Linked DNA regions of Kluyveromyces lactis. The protein of the gene in region 1 interacts with the protein of each later gene in a pairwise test. Links are inferred from orthologs where the notes say so. Each region holds a gene or a part of one and is shown in the gene's direction. Other genes may lie near its edges. The genes, in order: PEX10, PEX2 and PEX13.

Region 1 (4,434 bases):
TCGAGAAGCTTGACCAGTATTTCGAAATTCTGTGCACTCTTAGGGTTTTCAAAGCAGAAGAACTTTGCAGAGATAGCCATTGGATTGGACATTAAATTGGAAATAAGTTCTAATGTCGATCTTTGAATTCTGACCGATGAATCCAATAAGAGATTCTCTATACTATCCCAATACTGAGCATTACTCAAGATGATTTTGCCGAGATCTACTCCCTGGTTTATAGTAGCCAAATTTGTCAACGCTAATAATGCTTCGTAAGTATCTAATTGTGTGAATTGAAGTTCCGATAAAGCGTTGTCATTTGGTAAAGGTAAATTTTCAAATAAGAACGGTGCTGCGCTCAACGGTGAATATTTGCTGAACGCAGTCTCTGGATTCACATAGATGAGTGTTTTCGATAGTGCTCTTATCGATAGAAGATACCATTCATCTTTAGAAAGGTTCCTTTTTTGTGCTAAAAATACCAAGAGCATCAATCCAGCACCCTGTTTCACACATTCTGATATCTGTGTTTTATCTCTTGTCACATTATATATGATTCTTATGGCTTGATTGTAAGATGAGGTGGATAGTTTTATCGATTTTAAAGAACCGATCAAGTCTAAATCGATAATATAATCACGGTTAAACTCTTCTATGTCCTTAACATTTTCCAATGTCGGCTCGTCATTCTTTTCTTGGTTGGTTTTCAATGAAGCTTTTAATTTATCGACTGTATCCTCATTCTGTGACGGGTGCTCACTTACGTTTGCTAATATAATCAAGAGTCCGTATAGATCAGTCGGTGTAGTGTCCTGTGACTTGATCAGCTCGATTATTTTCAAACATACATCACCGTTACCTCGTAGCAAGACTCTGACAGAGGGCTTCAATGTCAAGTAAGCTAAAGCTTCAGTATTAATCTCGATATTTTCGCCATTCGAAAGCGAGTCGATGAAAAGGTTGATGCAAGAGTTAAGAGTTTCCTTTTCTATCTTAGTGAATGACCAGATCTTGATCAAAACCAACGCAGTCAGTACTTTATACTTCTCGACCTTAAATGATTGTTGTAACGTCTTAAGGTAATGCTCTGCAATGAATCTTCTGACTGCTTCGTCAATACAGGAAACAGCCAAGAGACGAAGAGCCCCGTTTACAAGATGTTCATCATCCGCTGAAGAATTCAAATTCCTAGTCAATATGTCCTGGAAATCTGTCGAAAGAAACATGTCTCTACAAACGCCAAGGCAGATAGGGAACACCAAAGACATAGCATCTACAAGCAAACGTAAAGAAACATTGCCAGAATCTTCCTCGGCTTCAATTAACAATTGTTGTAGTATATTCCCACACTTCTGCTCCGTATTATCTGAATGGTTGGACATCAACGATTTCATCGTTACAAGAAGTAATGGCCGTATCTCTTGTATGCTACTTCTTAAAAGTATTCTTCTGCAAAGAAACTCCAATTGACCCCAATCCTTCACATAACCGGCAAGCATCGGCACACACTTCCAGCATCGTGTTTCCTCGCCATTGTTATGTATCTCTGAGGTCCAGTTTTGAATAACGTGCAACAAATCCGTCACGTCCTTCGGAGATGAACATCTTTCTTTCAATACACTTTGAGCATCGGCACTATCACTGCCAACAATTCTATCCCAAACTTTATTCATAGCGTTGATATCTTTATTGAATTACAAAAAGAATAAATTCACAGAATTGAACTATCGGTACCAGCCCAAACAACTGTATGTTAGATCGGGTTTAGTTATCTCTGGTTTCGAACCCTATGATTAATCAAATAAAACTTCATTTCTCCAATTGATCAATTTCAACCATCTAACATCTTCAAAAACGAATAAGAACACAAACTGACGAGAGACAAGCAATGGCACCAGACATGAAGTTCCCATTTGCTGATGCACCTAGTATAGTTCAGGCGCATCAAAAGGATGATACTGTGGAAAACTTGCTGTTACAAAAGATCCAGGATGTACTACGGAAAGTTAAGGGACAACAGTTCACTAACAGGTATGTTAGTGAGATAATGATCCTCAGCAAGTTGATATACTTGTCAATTACAACACTAAGGTATAGGAGAACGCTTGGAGAAGAGTACGTTGATTTGGCGTATGTTGATAGGCGAGGAAAAGGTGTTGCGAGACTCCTGCGAAGGATTGGTTTCGCTATCAGTTATTGTGGGGTACCGTGGATATTATCGAAAGTATTCTACAAGTATAAGCTCAATGAGAGGGGATCTGGTTTCTTGAAAGTATTCAATGGCAAGAGTTTCAGGGACATCTTGGATTCCACTTTGAATTTGCACTTAATTATATTCTACTTGAGCGGACAGTATTATGATATCTCAAAGAGAATATTTGGAATGAGATATGTGGTTGGCCATGAAATGAACAAGAATGAGGTAGAATTCAAGAAGAAGTCATCGCAAAACTACAAGATTCTTGGTTTTATACTTGGTATGCAATTAGCTTCTAAGCTTTTACCGCAGATTGCAGAATACATCGCTGACAGAATTGGAACAGATGATGGGAAGAGCCACAAGAGTTTAAGTGCATTAGCTAAAAAACACACCTCAAAAGATCTTAGCGATCTAGAAGTCCTACCTTTCATCAAAGAGGATTCACGTAAGTGTGTTTTATGTCTTAACTATATGCTGGATCCCAGCGCGACTCCGTGTGGTCACCTTTTCTGCTGGGATTGTATCATGGAATGGACGTTAGAAAGACAGGAGTGTCCATTATGCAGGCAAAGGTGTCCGAGACAGCTGACGATACCTGTTAGATAAAGCTTAGAAGAATATCTAAATGTTTCAGCGAGCTTTCTTGTATTATTAAAACAATCTGCTGTATATAACGGGGTTAAATCTATATGCCAATATGGAACAGTAGTTGTTTTTGTTTGCTCTTTTTCTTACTACCACTAGCTGGTAATGCATTGTCTAACGAATCCAAGTTGATAGAATCGTTGTCGTTTTGAGGCTTACCCCAAGTGGATGGGTTTGGTATGGTAGTCTGTTTCACTGGAGGTGCAACAAATTTTTTCTTAGTAGCTTGTAACTTGGGGAAGCTGGTTGGATTAGGTGATTTGATAGCTGTCACATTCGGTTGTGAATTCACTACAACGGTTGAAGAACCTGGCGGTGATTGATTCTTCTTCGCATAGTTTAAAGAAGTTGATGACGATGAATTGGAAGTCAAACCGCTCCTAATAACTGGAGAGGACGGTGAAGAAGAGCCATTTTTCCGCAAATTAGTATACGAGGCTTTGGAGGAGAATATAGGTTCGGATACAGCTGGTAGAGACGTGAACTTCACGTTCGACCCGCCAACACCAGAAGAACTCTTTTTACCCCATTTACCATAAACTACGTTAACCGAAGATGATGAATCGGCGACGAGAGGTTTGAATTTCCCTGCATTCTCTTTCTTCTTCATAATGCCTTCGTATATAGCACGCAATCTTTTGTGTTTATCCGAAGTTGAATGATATAACTCCGATAAATCGTAAATTAGTAATTGTATATCATCCGCGTGTTGCTTAAACAAGTCTTCATATTTGGATTGAAGCTCTTGAGCAGAAATTTCGTTTTTGTTAAATAGGTCATTGATGATTAAGAAGGACTGGAAGTCTGGTTCAGAGTTCCCAAGGTAATGTCTTGCTCTTTGTTCCATTCTCCTCCTTTTGACATCTCTTGAGTTTGCAGAATTTGATTCCTCATTCTGTGCATCTATAATTCTTGTTGGATTGGAGAACGTAGTAATTTGTGATCTGAACTTCTTTGAGGTATTATCTATCAACGTCATAGCTCTTCTGCTATCACCTGCAAGATGAGGATGTTCTTTGATGATATGTGCTCTTAAGTCCAACTCATCACTGAAGACGACAAATTTGGCATCGAGGCAGGACGGTACCGTGCATACGTAATGGGCTGATTTGAAATGTTCGAATAAGTCCTCATAGTTTTTGAAATATTGCGGTTGTGATGGGTCTAGTTGATCACAGATATGACATCTTTCATGGGAAAGTTTCATGTGCTTATAAAGCTCATCGTCAGAGTAGAACCTTTTACCAGAGCAAAATCCACACATAGGATGGCCTTTAAATCCATCCTTAGGGTCGCCACGACTTTCGTGTATCTTTAATTGCTTAACAGTCATAACTTTTAACTCGCCGGGGAACGCTTTTTTATGCCCAGCACAAATCATACATATTGTCTTATTATGTTCTTGTCTCAAGAATTCGTTCAACTTCTTAAACGATCCAAAATCTTTATTGGCATCTCCAAACGGTGAGACGTATTTCAAAAGATTCATAGCATCATTCATAACATTTTTGCTGGTAAACCGTATCCCCAATTTCTCGTTCTTGAATTCCAATTTGGCCTTCTTATCCAAATGCTCATAAGTTTCTTTTATCTTATCCGTGAAGATG
Region 2 (4,277 bases), on another chromosome or scaffold:
GGTTGAGTTTCCATGAACTATCCTTTGTGGTTTACACTTGAATTCAATCAATTGCAACAATGGATCTCCCTTGAAAATAGCGAATTTTTCCTGCAAGGTGTACAATTTGGGACAATGGAATTTGAAGTCGGAAGAATAATATAGTTTAGCAAATGCAGGTCTTAAGTCATTGGACAACGAGGATCCCGTACACTGCATTTGTAATGGTAGACACGAGGACGGTAGAGAGAACTGCGTAACTTTTGAGCTGAAATATGCTGGTCCGTATAAAATCACGTTTGTGAACAACCACAGTTGATTAACCTGGTAATTGGATTGGTTCGAGCAAACGTGATCATAAAACTCCAAATAATCAAAATTTGGGATATCAAAGTAAAAGTTGATGATAGAAATCAAATAAAGGGAACCCTCTTTAGATGAAAGTAACTGACTTGCATTATTAAAAGGTGGCAGACGTTCACTCGGAAGCAAAGATTTGACAATGAACATAAATTCGAACAAGACTTCTTCCAAATCAAATAAATCTATTTCAAAGTTATTGATAAGGAGCGAGCTATGTTTTAGCATCAACCTGATGAAGAAATCATCAGATACTTTTATAATCCTACTGGGTACCACGCCAGCGAGAGACTTTTGGATGGACACCCACGTGACCTGCTCGTTTTGGTGTTGGTGCTGAGATTGATTATTCCTGTTAGTAGTTGTAGAAGCGCGATGACAACCAGCGTCATCGTTACCAAGCTCAATAATGCTGGAGGAACCAAATCTATAAGCATTTTCCTCGTTTTGATCATCAATGGACGTTGAGGATACAACTGAACTTTTTAACAACCGTTCGACACTTCCCTTGACACATGAGACACTGTGATGAAGCTTTTTAAGTTCATCAGACCGACGCGGTGGTACGACGTAATCCAGCGTACACACCAAACCACGTTTCGAACAGGCAGTGCAAGGACCGGGTCTTGTGTTTGCAGAATCACATTTTACCTTGTTCTTTCTGCATCTGGTACAAGACCGCAACGGTTTGAGCATTTTTAATGTTAGGAAAAAAAAATTTGGGGCACGCAGAGGTACGAACGGATGGTAGCCAGTATCTGCCAGCGGCACTCAGAGAACTAATGGGATGAAATCTGCGCGTTATCCCAACAACCACTGGCAAGTGCCCGCGTATATCTATACATACACTTACATTCACATCCATATATATATATATATATATATATATTTATGTACATATAGATGGCTTGATATCGAAAAGCAAATGTAATTAAAGCATTATAAAGTAACTCATCTCCTAGAATTAGCTTTAACCGAGGAAAAACTCTGGAGTTTCGAACTTCAAAATAACAGGAGATTAAAAAAACTGCCAGAAAGTCCTAATGGCCCTTAAGGTGGGCTCTCAGTAATTCCCCGTTGATGACACTAGCAGGCAAAAAAACAAACAAACAAAGAACCAGGCTCTGAACCGAACCCTTCTGCGATTGACGGAACCAGTCCATAACCCTGTGTGTCCGATATTTTTTTGTGGTATATTACCGGTGCGGTATGTAAAAGCATCCCCGTATAATAAGCTGCTTCCCAATATTGACCGAAAAGGCTCACTTGACAAAAACGGATGTTGTAGACTATTCGGTGTATATCACATAAGCTCAGGTAAGCTGCGCTGCGGCGTTTAGACACACTTTAATAGATCAAAACGTGAAGCCTACGGCCCAAAAAAGTATTGTAGCATTTTCTGCTGCATTCTCCTTGTTTGATTGACTGTGCTTTTTTTGCTTGCAGATTTTTCTCTAACTCCGCGGTAGAAGCTCTCAGTCAGATACGTACGAAACGAATAACTGAATAGCCTTTGGCATAAAAGTACCGAGTACAAAGAGCAAAAAAAATGCCCTCGAAGTAAGGATAAACTGGAGGCCATCCAAACAACGGGGAATATAATTTCGGAGTTATCGCAGCCCTGGTCTCATAGTTCCTGGTATCCATACTGTCCGATTGTATTACAGTGAGACATCTATCTATATCAAGAGAGATAGGTACTGTGTTTTATTATCTGGAAGTCACGCTGCTGCTTTATTATTTTGCAATTTGTACCGGTGAAATATTTCATTGCTAACACTAAGTAACGAAGGGTAGTGAGTGTTTTAAGCGCAATACGTTATCTGTCGATCCGAATATGTCAAGGGTTGCTCAATTAGATGGAGTTTCACTTGATCTGCAGCTCACCAGGGCACTTCAATCGGATTTGGGTTTTCCTTGTCCGCAGATAGTTGTTGAAATTCTGGTATTCTTACTTGGGAGTAGGCGATGGCATCAGGGTAGTGTCGCAACATATGGTAGTGTTCTCACTGGTGTTGGCTATCAATGCTCTCGTTGGCGGTTATTTGCTGTTACCGTGGTATTAAGACATCTGTTGCATCGGTTTGAAAGGACCAATTTGGTTTACGAACTTTTAGATTTGATCCATCTTTTACAATTTTTAACGTCGGGTACAGGTGGTCCCTCTCTTTTGCATCGATTGTTCCGAGTCCCTGCAGTGTTCCAACCGGGATTCTCGTATTCTGATACTACTTCAGGATCATCAGCATCTGAGGTTCAGATGCTCTGGAATGCTTCCATTGAGATGATAGCTGGTCTATCGTTATTTAAAAACGGATTCGTTTCTGTGACAAGTACTAACGCAGCTGCGGTGGCAGCTGCAAAGGCTATTGCCGGTGGTAGTTCTTCAGTTGGGGCCCCTGGTGAGAAGTTTTCGCAAAAGAATACTTTATGCCCTGTTTGTGGTGAGGTCGCTACAAATGCATTTACAATCACTTGCTGCAATACAAGGTATTGCTACACTTGTGCGTTGGAAGTGGAACAGTCACATTGCCTAGTTTGTAATACTAAGAACCCAAAATTCTTTTGCTAAAGTGTTTATTATACCCTATATATTCACACCTAGGCCAAATCTATATACGTTATTACTTCCCAGGCAATGCTAAAACAGTATTATTAAACTCTCTTACAGTTATTTCGCACCGCACTTGTTTACACAACTCCTTCTTCTTCTCCTTTGGAACATTCTGCAACAGCTGCAGGCCGGAACTCCTTTCTAATGCATTGACGGGTACTTCAAACTCTATTAATGTTGTAGAGTTCGAAATAGGAGCATTTGGTAAGACAAATGCGGCAACGTGCAGCTCATCATCACGACCATTTCCAAGCTGCTTAGGTCTTTCAGCCACGACCAACTTGAAAAAATGCGTTGGGACTGCAATGTTAGGTGGATTTCCAATCATCTCGTATGTGACTTTGAACTTACCGTCTTTGGGGTCTCGCTTCGGCAAGTATAAGGGACCTGTCATAATTCGAACACTGTTGTATTTATCGACTAATTGTCTGCAGAAATACTCCAAATGTGCCCAGTAATCTCTATTGAAACCTTCACCCACTTGAGGGCACATATTAGTCAAATAGAAAGTATCGTCCATTGCCTGTTGGGAGAACTTCGCGTTCGCCGCAGGGGCTTGATGTCCTCTATCGTAACCGGATCTGAAATAATCCTTTAGTCGACCGCGGAACATCTCTGGAATCTGCTCGTCTTCCTTGAATATAGAGTTCTTCCTATCAGCACCCTTTGTCTTTAAGGATTCTGGTGTAATGTGCTCAAGTACCCAGTATGGGTTCCTTGTTCTCCTATCATAGCACGAGATGAACTCTTGTCTTGTTTCCAGATCATGAATTGGCCCAGGGAATCCGTACTTGAAGAATGCACCAGGATCAACGTTACTTCCAACTAACGAGACGCGACCAGCTTGGTTTGAGGAACTGGGATCTGATGGAATGTTATTGCTACTACCAGTGGATCCCGGGAATGAGGTACCAGAGTTTCCGCCAGATAGTGCACTAGATTTCCCCCAAAAGTACGACACGGTACCAACACCGACTAACGCACTAAAAGCGTTTCTTGAAAAGCTCATGGCCGGTCTATTTCCTCAGCACCAAGCGATTCAAATTACTTGACAATTAAATGATATTCTGGTGATTGCAGCTTCTGGGATGACACTCTTGTATTATTTTAGGCTGGAATGCATTACGAGAATTTTTTTTTTTTTTTTTTCACTCCGGACAGTATAATGAATAAGGGCTTAGGTCAACAATAAGTGCATGAGTTGAATATTTAGTAGCGTTTGCTAGTAGTAATGCTGCAGTAGTGCTACAGCATCACAGAATCGAGGACATCCTAGTCCTAAATAGAAGATATTTTTGTCACAGCGTCTATAGCAATGAAAGTT
Region 3 (4,966 bases), about 280 kb from region 1:
TCTCTTGGCGGAGAGTTTTGACATCCTACTGGTAAGAGAGGAAAACTGGTCGACAAAAGGCACTTCCTTTTCTCAAAGAGAGCACCTGCGTTGTTGGAAAAGGAGTTTTGTGCGAAGTTACATTCCGTTAATATTCTGTTGGGGAAGGTAAAGGGTATTTGAAACTTGACAAAGTGAGGAAAGCACCGAATACTTGCTAGCTTTATAGTCGAACCCTTGTGTCAGTGGAGCATCAGCCTTTCATAACATCATTCAGCAAAACAAGTTGAGATTCATTTAGGGTTGGAATAAAGAGACAAAAAGAGTATCCCCTACTGTAAAATTTCTCTTAACAAGAAGCTTTTTGCAAAGTTTACCTCTAGAGGTCTAACTTAGAGCACAGTAAACCGCAAATTAGAGATAGGCACAATAGCGTACGGGAGTGCAAACTTCATCCAATATAAAACAGAAACAAAAAGAAGATGCTCGGAGGTGGCATTGATGATACAATGATTGCTCATGGCTCATCGATTTATCTAGACGATAACGGTGCCTACCCCAAACGACTTAGGACATCTTTGTCAAAAATTATGGACAAGCAACTGGATTACAATAATAGTATGGCAAACGTGATACCGATAGGTCCAAGGTCTAGGTCTAGGTCGAACTCAATTGGAGGAGATACCAATCCCACTCCTATTTCATCAATGCTAAGATCTACTTCTCCAATTAGGATATCTCCAATACCTGGTCCTGTGAAAGTGCAACCGCCTAAGATGTACAAGAAAGAATACCTTTTGAAGAACAACAACAGTAATCAAGTGATAAAAAATGTTCCAATAGTTGGCACAAAAATGAATGCCAATGGAAATGATAACTTAAATCGTGGGTCCAATGGCAAACCTGCTCTTGGGCATAGAAGAGGAATGTCTAGTACATCCCAGTTAAGTAATACCACAAAATACGTTGAGCTAGAACCTCCAAAAATAGGTGATAGGTTCCCATCCTCAGATTCATATACTTCAAGTTCACCGACTGTAACACTTGATCTTGAACTTCAAATGCTAGCTGATGAGGAGGTACAAAATGGATTAAATGATAACAATGGGGCTGTCAATAACAAAAGAAATAGTATACTATCAAATTTCATGAATGACGAACAGCTGTGGCTGAATAATAAAGATGATTTCCAATATCCTGACGATCATCATTTCGACAAAGAAAGACTAGATCTGACAATCAAGAAACTTCAACTGAAGATTGATGAGTTGAAACTGGATAACGATAAATTGCATTTGGATAACGAGAATTTAAAAGATATCAACAATAGTTTAACGAGAGCAAATGAGTCCTTGACCTTCCAAAGCAGCTCGTTATTACAGCATATACAACAATTACCAAGAATATCAAATACAGACTTCATAATTCACAATTCAGACAGGTCACGGGAGAATATATCGAATAAACCACCATTCAAATCAGATGCACTAGTAAAGATCGCTGTTGAAGGAAAGATAAAAGAGCTAGAGAAAGAATTAGCTAAATGCAGAAGAATTCAGAAGGCTTTGGAATCCAGACTGAGCCCAAGGAAAAACAGGGTAAAGTACTTAACAGTTGAACAACTCGACGCGCTGGCTGAATCCAAATCGGAGAGTAAGCCAGATGAATCTAGTTTACATATCAGCGATCCCGACAACACTACCGCTCATAACAGTACTACGACATTAGATTGTGACGAAGGCGAGGTATTATCGGGGAGTATTAATCCAACGAGACTACAGCATGGTTTCAATTTACGCATACAATTAACTTCTTTAGAAGAAAGCAAACACAAGAAGGACTTTTCATAAGATAATTACAAATTTTTTTCAAGCATAATACGGACAACATTTTCGATTCAATATTTACAACTATCCAATGCTGCTGATAAAGCTTTGTAGTAGATACATTCAACTCACATTGCAGCTGCTTCATTTCGAACTTTTATACATTCTTTCAATAATAACAAGGATACATATATACATAATATGCGTGTCATTCGGAACCAATTTAAATACAAAATATTTAAAAGAAGGAAATAAGGATTTTCATTCAAGTATCCAACGGTTCTTCGTGGAAAAGATATCGTCTATTGCTGATGAAAAGACGATATCTACTATTGTCTTTAAGTCACGACGCAGGAAATAGTAACTTGTTACCCGGCCAAAGCATATTTCAAAGATTGACGATGATTCTAAAAGTAACATTGAATCATGTCGTGGAGCTTAAATACAGGTAACGACAGTGATGAATACACATCGATTGTAGCGGTTTTGGCTTCTATTAAGTGCTGTGATCGAAGTTCATATTTATTAGAGCATCAGTAGTCATGTCACAATCGGCAGGTGTTTCCAGACCGAAGCCCTGGGAGCAGAAAAATGGAGTTGAGAGTTTAGGAACTGATGCCAGTTTTACTGAGAATAGCAGTGCGTTGCAACCATCTGGTAATCAGCCTGACTTACCATCCAAACCGAACGGTTTAAATGAGGGTATGGATTCTTTGAACGGGGGAAACCCTCTTCGAAATGGTATGTCTGGATATGGTTCGGCGTATGGTGGAGGTTTAGGTACAGGATATGGAATGGGTTCCATGGGTGGTGGATATGGATCCATGTACGGAGGTGGTTATGGCTCTATGTATGGTGGTGGTTTAGGGTCGATGTACGGCGGTGGTTTAGGGTCGATGTATGGGGGAGGGTTCGGATCAATGTATGGGATGAACGGTATGAACGGTATGAATGGAGGACCCTCGGGGATTGCAGAGTCAACACAGGCAACTTTCCAGTTAATAGAAGGGCTTATAGGAGCCGTTGCTGGTTTCGCCCAGATGTTAGAAGCTACATATATGGCTACCCATAACTCTTTTTTCACTATGATAACCGTTGCGGAACAGTTTCAATATATGAAGGAGCTTTTGGGATCATTCTTTGGTATATTTGCCTTGATAAAATTCGTAAAAAAGATCTTGTACAGAGTTACAGGTGGTAAGATGGGAGTAGCGCCTTCCAAAAAGCGCTTAGGGATAGAGGGCGGAAAGAGCCAGGGCTCAGATCTTTCAAAACAATTTATCGAAGAATTCAGGGACTCAGATCTGACGAAGAAAAAGGGTAGAAGAATTTCATGGAAACCATTGATTGTGTTTTTAGCAGCTGTGTTCGGCTTCCCGTACCTTTTGAACAAATTTATTCAGAAATTACAACAGCACCAAAAAGCCAAAATAGCTGGCGGCGCTATGGCACAACAAATCTTAGATCCTAATAACCTAGAATTTGCAAGAGCGATCTATGATTTCGTTCCTGAGAATCCAAGAATTGAATGTAACTTAAAGAAAGGAGATCTAATGGCAATCATTTCCAAGAAAGATCCACTAGGAAATAACTCTGAATGGTGGAAAGTCAGAACAAAACAAGGAAATATTGGGTACGTTCCATACAACTATCTTGAGTTGATTAAGAAAAGGAAAAATGGCGTACCTGTTGAATCTGAGAAATCGAATACTTCTGAAGAACTGGCGGATTCAACCTCGGTAGACCATCTATTACAGAATCAACAGTGATTACATGGTGATGGACAAGAATTGAATATGGCGGGTCACAAATGCTAAGTTAAAGATGTGATAGCTTCAGAAAGTTTCAGACTAAGTATTAAGAAGAATTACGTTGTATTTTTCTCTTGTTTCACGTTATATATGTATTTGTGGTTACTACACATTTATTATTCCATTGCTCGAACCCCAGATACGGCATTTGGAATGCTAGAATATTAGCACAAGGGCGTTTATTGTCACCCTGCTGCTTAAAGGATCAGGTAATTTGGTTTATTGGGAAAAGAGGACATCGACATTCCGGACTTTATCATCATCTCATTCCTTATTTTTATTCGTTTAGTTTGTCAGCAGCATTTTCCAGTTTTTCTTTACCCTTGGCAGCGGCTTCCTTACCCTTGGCAGCAGCCTCTCTACCTTTGGCTTGGGCGTGTTCCTTACCTTTCTCTGCAAGATCGCTGGCCTTGTTTGAAGCCGTGTCAGCAGCTTCCTTGGCATCCTGCCCTGTCATATTGAATATCCCTTTCACTTTTTCTTCAACATTTTGGAAATTTTCACCCAAGTGATGAGTTGCTTCTTCGGTCTTCTCAATACCTTCAGCTGCAGCTTTACCAACTTTCTTGTTAACGTCTTCTAAAGTTTCTTTGATACCTTTAGAATCAATGTTAGAATTGTGAATAGAACGAGCCATAGGAGAATTTGTGAATAATCTAGAGGCAGCTGGGACTCTGGAACCTCTGTAAATAGTCTTTGAAATCATCATTTTGAAAATAGGAATATGTGGGTATAGTAGTGTTGCTCTCTCGTTGCGTTAATCGATCACGGGCTTGATTGATTCGTATCTGAATTTGATAATGGTGTATTTAAAGGTGTCTAATCCTAGAAGAGGCATTATTCTTTCGACCATGCCCTATATATATATACATACTAGTATGTATCATATATCTGGATTTGTATCATCTGTTTTTCAACATGTTAAGGTTTGCTACTAAATGGTACAATATCTATCGACAATAGTACTGGAGAGATGGTAACTTGCTTTTGTAGCAGAAATACGTATTCCATCCCTAATAGAACTCGACAGATTCTTTCTGAGCAGCATTATGAGTTGACGCAATTTGAACCTCCATGAAATGCCCAAGGACATCGATCCATTTAATCATCGGGGTCTCATCATTATGATCCGATTGCTGATAATATTACATAACCTATATCAAGTACACATTCAAACCCTCCCTGAGTCTGGGGATCCTATCCCACAAATACCAGTACAGATTGAATCCCACAGAGAATATTAACTGCCACGAATACTGCCATGTATATGTGCGTATATTTTCTTAGCATCTTCAATTAGCAAACTGTCGTCAAACACCGTGTAGTATCGTTTTTTTTTGCTATCAACAT

Evidence for each region.
Region 2: the proteins of PEX10 (region 1) and PEX2 interact in binary tests that used the Saccharomyces cerevisiae proteins (3 or more experiments, as listed by UniProt). The link is inferred for Kluyveromyces lactis from reciprocal best matches to the Saccharomyces cerevisiae genes PEX10 and PEX2.
Region 3: the proteins of PEX10 (region 1) and PEX13 interact in binary tests that used the Saccharomyces cerevisiae proteins (3 or more experiments, as listed by UniProt). The link is inferred for Kluyveromyces lactis from reciprocal best matches to the Saccharomyces cerevisiae genes PEX10 and PEX13.

Annotation. Positions count from the first base shown.
Region 1 is NC_006041.1:1,479,726-1,484,159, reverse strand, and holds PEX10 (ubiquitin-protein ligase peroxin 10), read left to right. Parts: upstream 1-1,870; coding exon 1,871-2,788; downstream 2,789-4,434. Other genes in the region: SHE4 (She4p), read right to left, coding at 1-1,655; E3 ubiquitin-protein ligase HEL2, read right to left, coding at 2,868-4,434. UniProt on the Saccharomyces cerevisiae protein: E3 ubiquitin-protein ligase component of a retrotranslocation channel required for peroxisome organization by mediating export of the PEX5 receptor from peroxisomes to the cytosol, thereby promoting PEX5 recycling.
Region 2 is NC_006040.1:36,328-40,604, forward strand, and holds PEX2 (ubiquitin-protein ligase peroxin 2), read left to right. Parts: upstream 1-2,176; coding exon 2,177-2,911; downstream 2,912-4,277. Other genes in the region: KLLA0_D00396g (Zn(II)2Cys6 transcription factor domain-containing protein), read right to left, coding at 1-1,035; NUC1 (ribonuclease), read right to left, coding at 2,964-3,962. UniProt on the Saccharomyces cerevisiae protein: E3 ubiquitin-protein ligase component of a retrotranslocation channel required for peroxisome organization by mediating export of the PEX5 receptor from peroxisomes to the cytosol, thereby promoting PEX5 recycling.
Region 3 is NC_006041.1:1,755,290-1,760,255, reverse strand, and holds PEX13 (peroxin PEX13), read left to right. Parts: upstream 1-2,347; coding exon 2,348-3,574; downstream 3,575-4,966. Other genes in the region: MMR1 (Mmr1p), read left to right, coding at 462-1,829; KLLA0_E19713g (uncharacterized protein), read right to left, coding at 3,894-4,325. UniProt on the Saccharomyces cerevisiae protein: Component of the PEX13-PEX14 docking complex, a translocon channel that specifically mediates the import of peroxisomal cargo proteins bound to PEX5 or PEX21 receptors.